Sus scrofa: one gene and its partner. The protein of the gene in region 2 purifies or fractionates together with the protein of the main gene of each other region. This does not show direct contact. Links are inferred from orthologs where the notes say so. Each region holds a gene or a part of one and is shown on either strand. Other genes may lie near its edges.

Evidence for each region. The genes of interacting proteins can lie anywhere in the genome.
Region 1: the proteins of GNAI3 (region 2) and RIC8A purify together in Homo sapiens (affinity purification with mass spectrometry; 3 studies listed by BioGRID and IntAct, counting the BioPlex papers as one, with this or other methods). This does not show direct contact. The link is inferred for Sus scrofa from reciprocal best matches to the Homo sapiens genes GNAI3 and RIC8A.

What each region holds. Positions count from the first base shown.
Region 1 is NC_010444.4:30,693-35,023, forward strand, and holds the start of RIC8A (synembryn-A), read left to right. Parts: upstream 1-1,478; 5' UTR 1,479-1,601; coding exon 1,602-1,685; intron 1,686-1,960; coding exon 1,961-2,008; intron 2,009-2,094; coding exon 2,095-2,685; intron 2,686-3,163; coding exon 3,164-3,255; intron 3,256-3,727; coding exon 3,728-3,878; intron 3,879-4,331.
Region 2 is NC_010446.5:110,540,591-110,544,637, reverse strand, and holds part of GNAI3 (guanine nucleotide-binding protein G(k) subunit alpha), read left to right. Parts: intron 1-926; coding exon 927-1,055; intron 1,056-4,047. UniProt on the Homo sapiens protein: Heterotrimeric guanine nucleotide-binding proteins (G proteins) function as transducers downstream of G protein-coupled receptors (GPCRs) in numerous signaling cascades.

The DNA of each region.
Region 1 (4,331 bases), on a different chromosome or scaffold from region 2:
GGGCCGCTGGTTCGCTCCTGGGACTGCTGGAAGGTTATCGTTTTTAATAGCATCATGGTGCCGACAGACAATTCCGCGGCCATTCCTGCCGAAGGCGGTGTCAAATCCTAACTGGAAAGAGCTCACGGCCCTTTCTCAGGCGAGAGAGGCTCCTCGCGGCGACACGGCCCGGGGTCCGAGGCCCGCCCGGCTGCGGTGCGGTTAAGGCGAGGACTCGGTGTGAAGCACGCTCCAGATGCTGCCGGCGGGATAAAGAGGGGATCAGTGCCTGGAACAAGCGAGCGCTGCAAAAATCTCAGGGATGAAGCACTTGAAGGAAAACGGGAAATCAGGAAGAAGAGTGGGAGCGTGAGGGGAGTTAGGGGCAGGAGGAGCCGGTGCTGCGACCTTGCACCCGGGCACTGACAAGGGGTCTGGCACAAAATAGATGCTCAACAAAGGCTTGTTGCGCAGTGGGTGGAGTATATGTTATTCACCCACTGTAATGGAGCATTCACTCTGTGTCGTTTAGTGCTGACAACCCACCGAAATGGGACCTTTTATCATCTCTGCTTTTCAAAAGAGGGAACTGGGTCCAGGCCAGAAGATGTGTCTGCTTACACAGCCAGGAAGTCCCTGCACATGATCAGGCTTTGCCTTCATCCTGACCTGGACCTTCCCTCCCCACTCTCCCCTGTCTCTCAGCCCCAACAATGATCTCTTTCTCCTACAACGGCCATTCCCACCTTTACTCTGCCGGCTCCTTCGGCCTTGAATGAACTTCCCCCACATCCCTTCCTGGCTCACTTCTTCCTCTGGTCTCAGCAAAAGCGACACTTATTCAAATCCCCTTGGAGCCCATCAGGCCCCTTTTTCAATCACAGCACTATGACTGCTTAAAGTCTTCCCGTTTTCCCGTTTTTGTTTTCACCTCTGCAATATAAGCTCCACGAAGGCAAGGACCTGTGGGTTCTGTTCACCCACATCCTGGTTCCTTGCATGCTGTAGGCCCTCAAACGCCTGCTTAATAAACAAAGTGGTCCCGGGGCTGCAAAGTCCTTTCCACTTCGTCTTTCCTCGGAACATCTCATTCGTTCTGTACATCAAGAGGGGTGTAGTGTGCGTGTAATAGCGGGGTGAGAAGCTAAGGCCCTCTCCCGTAGGGAATTCACTGCTCGGAGCCGGAGCGATTCAGGCCCGTGGTCGGATAACCACTGAGTCGGACACTGAAAGGCAACGTGACTAGACATCAAAGCCTTTAAATTCCCGAGGGCTCTTCTAGGCCTCTCCACTTTAAGGCGCGCGCAGCCCGGGCCCCCGCCCCGCGCGGCGCCGCGCGCAGCCCGGGCCCCCGCCCCGCGCGGCGCCGCGCGCAGCCCGGGCCCCCGCCCCGCGCGGCGCCGCGCGCAGCCCGGGCCCCCGCCCCGCGCGGCGCCGCGCGCAGCCCGGGCCCCCGCCCCGCGCGGCGCCGCGCGCAGCCCGGGCCCCCGCCCGCGCGGCGCCGCGCACGCCCCTTCCCGGCCTCCCCCGCGCGCCGAGCTAGGGCCGGGCGGGCCGTCTGGGGCCCAGAGCCTTGGAGCGAGGTACCTTCCGCTTCCTCGGGCCGGGGTCCCGGGAGCGCCATGGAGCCTCGGGCGGTAGTGGATGCTATAGAGACGGGGGAGGAGGACGTGGTTATGGAGGCTCTGCGCGCCTACAACCGGGAGGTGAGCGGGAGCTATGGACGTGGGACGCGCAGGGAGGAGGTGGGGCTGGGTGGGTCCCGCGCGCGTGGCCGGCGGGGAGGGTGTGAGTGGTGAGCGTGGCGGAAGGCTGAGGGTGTTGGCGAGCACGGCGGGGAGGGGCACCGAGTCTTTGAAGAGTTGCTGGGGGTGCCGTGGGGAAAGGGAGCCCTGTCTATTGAGAGCGGTGTCTGCGGCCTTGGAGCTCGGATTCTGCTTCGGTGGACCTGTGCCTCCTAATCTTCTGGGTCTGTTTGCAGAACTCCCAGAGCTTCACGTTTGACGATGCCCAACAGGAGGACAGGAAGGTGGGTGCTTATCAAGGGTAAAGGGGCAGGGACGGGTGGCCCAGGTAGAGGAGCCTGATGGAACCGCTCTATTCCCCTGCCCACAGAGACTGGCGGAGCTGCTGGTCTCAGTCCTGGAGCAGGGCTTGTCACCTTCCCGCCGAGTCATCTGGCTGCAGAGCATCCGCATCCTGTCGAGGGACCGCAGCTGCCTGGACTCGTTCACCAGCCGCCAGAGCCTGCAAGCGCTTGCCTGCTATGCTGGCATCTCTGCTTCGAAGGGGTCGTGTCCTGAGACTCTGGACATGGATGTTGTGCTCGAGTCCCTTAAGTGCCTGTGCAACCTCGTGCTGAGCAGCTCCGTGGCACAGGTGCTCGCCGCAGAGGCGGGGCTAGTGGTGAGGCTCGCAGAGCGAGTGAGACTGTACCGCCAGAGCAGCTTCCCGCATGACGTCCAGTTCTTTGACTTGCGCCTCCTCTTCTTGCTAACGGCGCTTCGCACTGATGTGCGCAGGCAGCTGTTTGAGGAGCTGCAGGGAGTGCACCTGCTGACCGAGGCACTGGAGCTGACGCTGGGAATGACCCCTGGAGAGGGACCCCCGGAACTCCTTCCTTCCCAGGAGACCGAACGGGCCATGGAGATCCTCAAAGTGCTTTTCAACATCACCTTCGACTCCATCAAGAGGGAGGTGGATGAGGTGAGGGCTGGCCTCAGCCTTCGGTTGGGCTTAACAACTAGGATGCTTCCGGGACCTGCCTCTCTGCCAGGTACCCTCAAGTTTCTGGGTGTCGGACCAGGAGGACATCTGCACAGCAGCGCTTGTCAGGAGGAGGCAGGGAGGTGCCCGTTCCGTATAAGGGCATCGAGGAATCAGAGCGCGTATCTGGCTCTTGCAACACCAGGAGTGCTGTGTGGTGTGGGGGCAGGCTGTAGGAGATTCTTCGGGGGGCGGGGGGCGAGAGCACAGAGTGACTTCATCCCAAAGGGACCTGTTGATGTCCCTAACCACGAGAGTGCTCTTAAGGTCACATAAGTGAGGCTGAGCAGCCAGGTGTGGTGGAGGAGATGCATGGCCTGCATGAGGTCTGGCCGTGGGCCAGGCAGTAGATGTTCAGCAGGCAGCAGTGGGGGTGAGTGGCACTTTCTCTCACAGGCACCCCTTTCTCTTTGGTCAGGAAGACACTGCACTTTACCGGCACCTGGGGACCCTGCTGCGGCACTGTGTGATGGTCACTGCTGCTGGAGACCGCACAGAGGAGTTCCACGGGTGAGGGTGGTGCCTGTTGGGCACACCGGGGCGGGCGTCTGCTCTCAGGTCTATATGGTGGTTTCCAGCCCTAAAGAGAGAGTTTTCATCCAACTGGGTGGGACCAGGCATTGGTGTGTTTCCACAGAGCTGCAGCACTTAGAACACACAGCTAGGACAAGAATTGTGAGCTCAGGACAGAATGTGCCACTGGACCTTGAACACTGTGGTATCCATAGAGCAGTGTGGTTGTCACTTTCATTTTCTGTGACCTATGCCTGGGCGGGTCCCAATTTGGACTACCTGTTGTTTCGACCCAGGTGTGTGGGAGGTGGGATGTCTGCAAGGAGGGCCTCCCTCTGCTCTGGTACTTGGTGCTACTCAGGCCCCTGATACTGGTTCGGGTCATGTGTGATCCCAGCAGGGGGCAACAAGAGTTGCGCCTGTGCTGGGGGCCTGGGTTTACCCAGCCCTCCTTTCCATGTGTCCCCAGCCACACAGTGAACCTCCTGGGGAACTTGCCCCTCAAGTGTCTGGATGTCCTTCTCACCCTGGAGCCACACGAAGGCTCCCTGGAGTTCCTGGGAGTGAACATGGATGTGATTCATGCCCTCCTCAGTTTCCTGGAGAAGCGTCTGCACCAGGTGGGCAGGAGGCCCTGCTATGGCTCTGGCCCAGGCTTTCCCAGGCAGCTGTGGGCGCTGCTTTTGTGCAGTCTGCACTGGTAAGGGGAGATCAGCTCCCCAGTGGGATTCAGGCAATGCCTCCAGCTGCTCCAAGGTCCAGCCAGGCAGGAAGCCAGAATGTCCTCCTTGAAATGTAGGCAGACTTTTTGATACAAACAGAAGCAGGTTTTCAGAGACTAGCAAAGTATTTGTTTTTAGGTCTCTTTGTGGATCTTCTTGAGGGGGACCAAGAAGCCGCTGGTCCCTGCTTGTGATGCTAGACTCGCAGTGTCGCTCTACACAAGCAGCTCTTGGTGATGAGCAGCGGCTGTCCTTTGGTCTCTCTAAAGGGACCCACAGGATCTTCCAGGCAGAGGCTCCCTGACTCCTGCGGCCGCACCATAGAACACGAACTAGCCCTTCTGGGAGTTT
Region 2 (4,047 bases):
TGAAATCGTGAAAAATTTAGTTTAGCTTTGAAGCAGTTTTTAAACTATTTTACTGATCAAGTGAAGTTTCTTTGGAGGTATTTACAATTAGTTTTTGGCATAGGTTTTTTTTTTTTTTTTTTTTTTTTTTTTTTTTGTCTTTTGTTATTGTTGCTATTTCTTGGGCCGCTCCCGCGGCATATGGAGGTTCCCAGGCTAGGGATTGAATCGGAGCTGTAGCCACCGGCCTACGCCAGAGCCACAGCAACGCAGGATCCGAGCCGCGTCTGCAACCTACACCACAGCTCCCGGCAACGCCGGATCATTAACCCACTGAGCAAGGGCAGGGACCGAACCCGCAACCTCATGGTTCCTAGTCGGGTTCGTTAACCACTGCGCCACGACGGGAACTCCGGCATAGGTTTTTAAAAAATTAAACCTACAGCTTTTTTTTTTTCTTGAGTGAAAACAGGAGATACTCATTCTTATTGAGCTTAGTTCTTTTTAATTCTAGTAATCCAGATAGCTATTTTCTAATGTCCTAGCAAATGTTTAAACATACGAATGACCCATTAACTTTAAATGTCTGAAGGCTTTTGTTTTGGTTAGGGTTTTATAAGTAGGCTGTGCCTAGTTGACTTAATATTAAATTTCAGGGATCTTTAATAAGAATAGCATTTCCATGTTGTTTTAAATTGGCTTTCACAGTTTAATTTTGGTAAAATTAAAACCACTTTATTGTAGTGTATATAAAAACTACTTTAATTGTCCTATGTTTGGTTCACTTTTTCCTCATTATTTCTATGATATTGAAGATCTGATTTGTTCTGCCACTTTAGTGACAGATTCGGAATTCACTTTTGGCAAGGAATGAGTTTAGTCTATGGACTTGCTGTGTGTATGGTTGGCTTTACTAAATAAAATAAATTTGTATTTTACTTATTTAGTTACCTAAATGATTTGGATAGAATATCCCAAACCAACTACATTCCAACTCAGCAAGATGTCCTGCGGACAAGAGTGAAGACCACAGGCATTGTGGAGACACACTTCACTTTCAAAGACCTGTACTTCAAGTAAGTCCTTAGCCTCTTCCTAGATGTATCTTTGCTCTAGTTAGTCTCTTCATCAGGGTAACATTTTTCTAGGCAGTATTCCTTGATTTAGAAACTTATGTTCATCAGCCAGTATTTGACTATTTTAAGTGTCAATGTAAACATTTCTTCTTTCTTTAAATAGCATCAAATATTTTTGTCCATTTGCAGGAATTTAAATTCAAAATGAAACTGTAACTTACATGTCAATAAAAGTAATCACATGGTTACCAATTTATTTTATTTTTAATTTTATTCTTTTCAGCTGCTTTTTTGTTGGAATCACCAAAACAGGTATTGAATGTTTGTTGTTTAGAAGGGTAACAACAATACTAAAAAGATAGAAAACCAGTGTTTTGGTTTAATTATGTGGCTTTGTTCTGGCATTTTGATGTTAAAGTAGAAGTGCTTTTTATCAGGGTCAGTCATTTCTTGGATCACACTTTAAGTTTAATGGGACGGTGCTAATATTGTCGTGGCCTTTGGTTTGTACACAGTAAGTATTATGCACAACCAGCTTCCTAATACAGTGCAGAATGAATATTGATCTGGGGCTAGAGGTATTTTGGAGAGGCATGATGACATGTAAACAATTATTGTTATAGAGAGAGAAAATTCTTGTATTCTAATGCAGTGGATTTTCTCATCAGCATTAGTAATTCTAGCTTCAGCTTGTCTCTGCGTCAACAGTCTTATGTAAATAATAGAACTGTCTTTATGGTTCCTGTCTTCTGCTTTTGTGACCTTTGAGGTTAGGAGTAAACTTTTCCCCTTCAGTGTATGATGTCCTTTTTAGCTGCTTCATTATGCTTGTATGTAGAATGCGATATTCAGCACTGTTGCATGCAAATGTAACTTCTAGCTCAGATTCTCTATTTTCTCTTGAAAAAAATTGCTTCGTGGGATTTGCAAAATTCACACAGACTTTAGGTATTATTAAATACTAGTTGAGGTCTTAAAATCTTAATACACCAAAACAGATTTGAAAATTGATACAGGAAAATAGCAGTTCAGCTGAATATTTTTAGAATAGAGGAACCGCTTATACTGATGAATTTATTTAATAAAAGTAGCAAAGGCTCCATAAATCATCACCCAAGAAACTGAAAGAATGAGATATCTCTTTGTGTGCTATAAGGTTAGTAATCCATTTATAATTATATGTTGTGACTTTTATTTATTTAGTGTGGGAAACTTTTTTGTTGATGTCATAGATTGATCTTTAGGTAGGTAAATCCTGTTGGTCTTTTTATGTCAGGATAAATAGCCAGATCTAATTAAGGTGCTGCACCCACTTTATTGCTGGCATATAGATATCTGTTATGAAGTACTATCATTTCTTCCTTTTCCTCTTCTCTCTAGGCAAAACCACTATCCATTTATTCAAACATTTATTGAGCATCTCCTATATGCAAGGCATTGTGTAATTGCTTACTTGCCTCTCAGTTATGAGGTAATGTTTATAAAATGTTGATCTGTTAGTGAATGATACTGTAAATGTTAATATGTGTGGAAAGCCCACCTTGGGAACTTCACAGGGTTCAGTTTTATGGACTTTATAGAAAAAAATGGAGAAGCAAAATGAAATTAATGGTGTACCAGTATGTGTCTCCCCTTGAAAGATCCGTGGCGAAATATATAATCTTAGCTTTCCTAAAACCTATATATGGTATGACCTTGTATTAGAACCAGTTTATGAGTGCCTCATTCCGGGTGTCAGGACTAAAGGTTGAAAAGAACTGCGTAAGATCAGCCAAAAGAAAAAGTTGGGTCATGGAGAGATGAGATGACTATTCTTTTTCAAACATACATTGAGAAATTATTCAACAGTGTCTTATTTCTCTCACTCTCTAAGGAGAAAATTCTCTGGCAATAGACTCCTAGTCACTATAGATCTGGTACAATGAACCAGCTTGGCAGAGTTTACACTTAAAACATTTTATGATTGTCATCAAACATATGTCTTAAGAGTAGCTAATCATTTGTATGCATACCTCCTAGTACTAGTTAAAAGACAAAGCAGTGCAGGTCCTCCTCTTACTCTAGATGGTAGATGAGGACACTGCTGACAGAAGTTCAGCAGCTGATTCCTAATAGCAAGTAAGCGCCCCCCACCCTGAAGGGAATAGTGGACTAACACTAACCTCGAGTGGAACATAAAGTGCGTGAACAATTGAAGCTTTGTTGTTATTGATTAGGTTAAAATAAAACTTGGAGTTAGAAAATACGGTTTAAGTTTTGGGTTTAGATATTAGGTTCTTAGAGTCTTATCCTAAAATATAATTTACTTTTTTCCATAATCTCTAAAACGTTTTCCTTAAAGTAAGAAAAATGTATTTCAATTATATCTCAATTAAAAAAAAAAGGGAAAACAAACTTTTGAATCTGGAAGCAGAAAGCAAGTTGGGGATTTATATTTTTTCATTGTTCTTTTTTTTTATTAGAGAGATAAACCATTTTGAAAGGCAGAGTGGTGTGATGGGTAAGAGTTGGTTACTGGAGTTAGAGTTCCAGTCCCCATTTGTTAGTAGTGTGCTCTTAGGTAAATTATTTAACATCTTTGTGCCTCAGTTTCTTCATCTGGGATAGTAACAGTACTAACGGGAGTGTTATGAGGGTTAAATGAGTTAATGTACTTCAGGATGTTTAGGATAGTGTCTGGCACCAGTAAACACTCAAACAGTAGTTATTATGGTTACTACCTCGAGTTTTATCATTCATCTCTTTATTTTTCTGGTCTTTTTTCCCTCCTTTCATTAATCCATTTCAGTGCTTACTCTACTGACTTTTGGTATGTATGATACAAGTTTTTGGTAATGAGGAAGCTCAACTGTTTATCTAAAATGAGAATTTTTTTTTTTTTTTCATTTGGGTTGCACCTGTGACTTGTGGAAGTTCCCAGGCCAGGGATTGAACCTGTGCTGCAGCAGGGACCTGAGCCACAACAGTGACAATGGTGGATCCTTAACCTGCT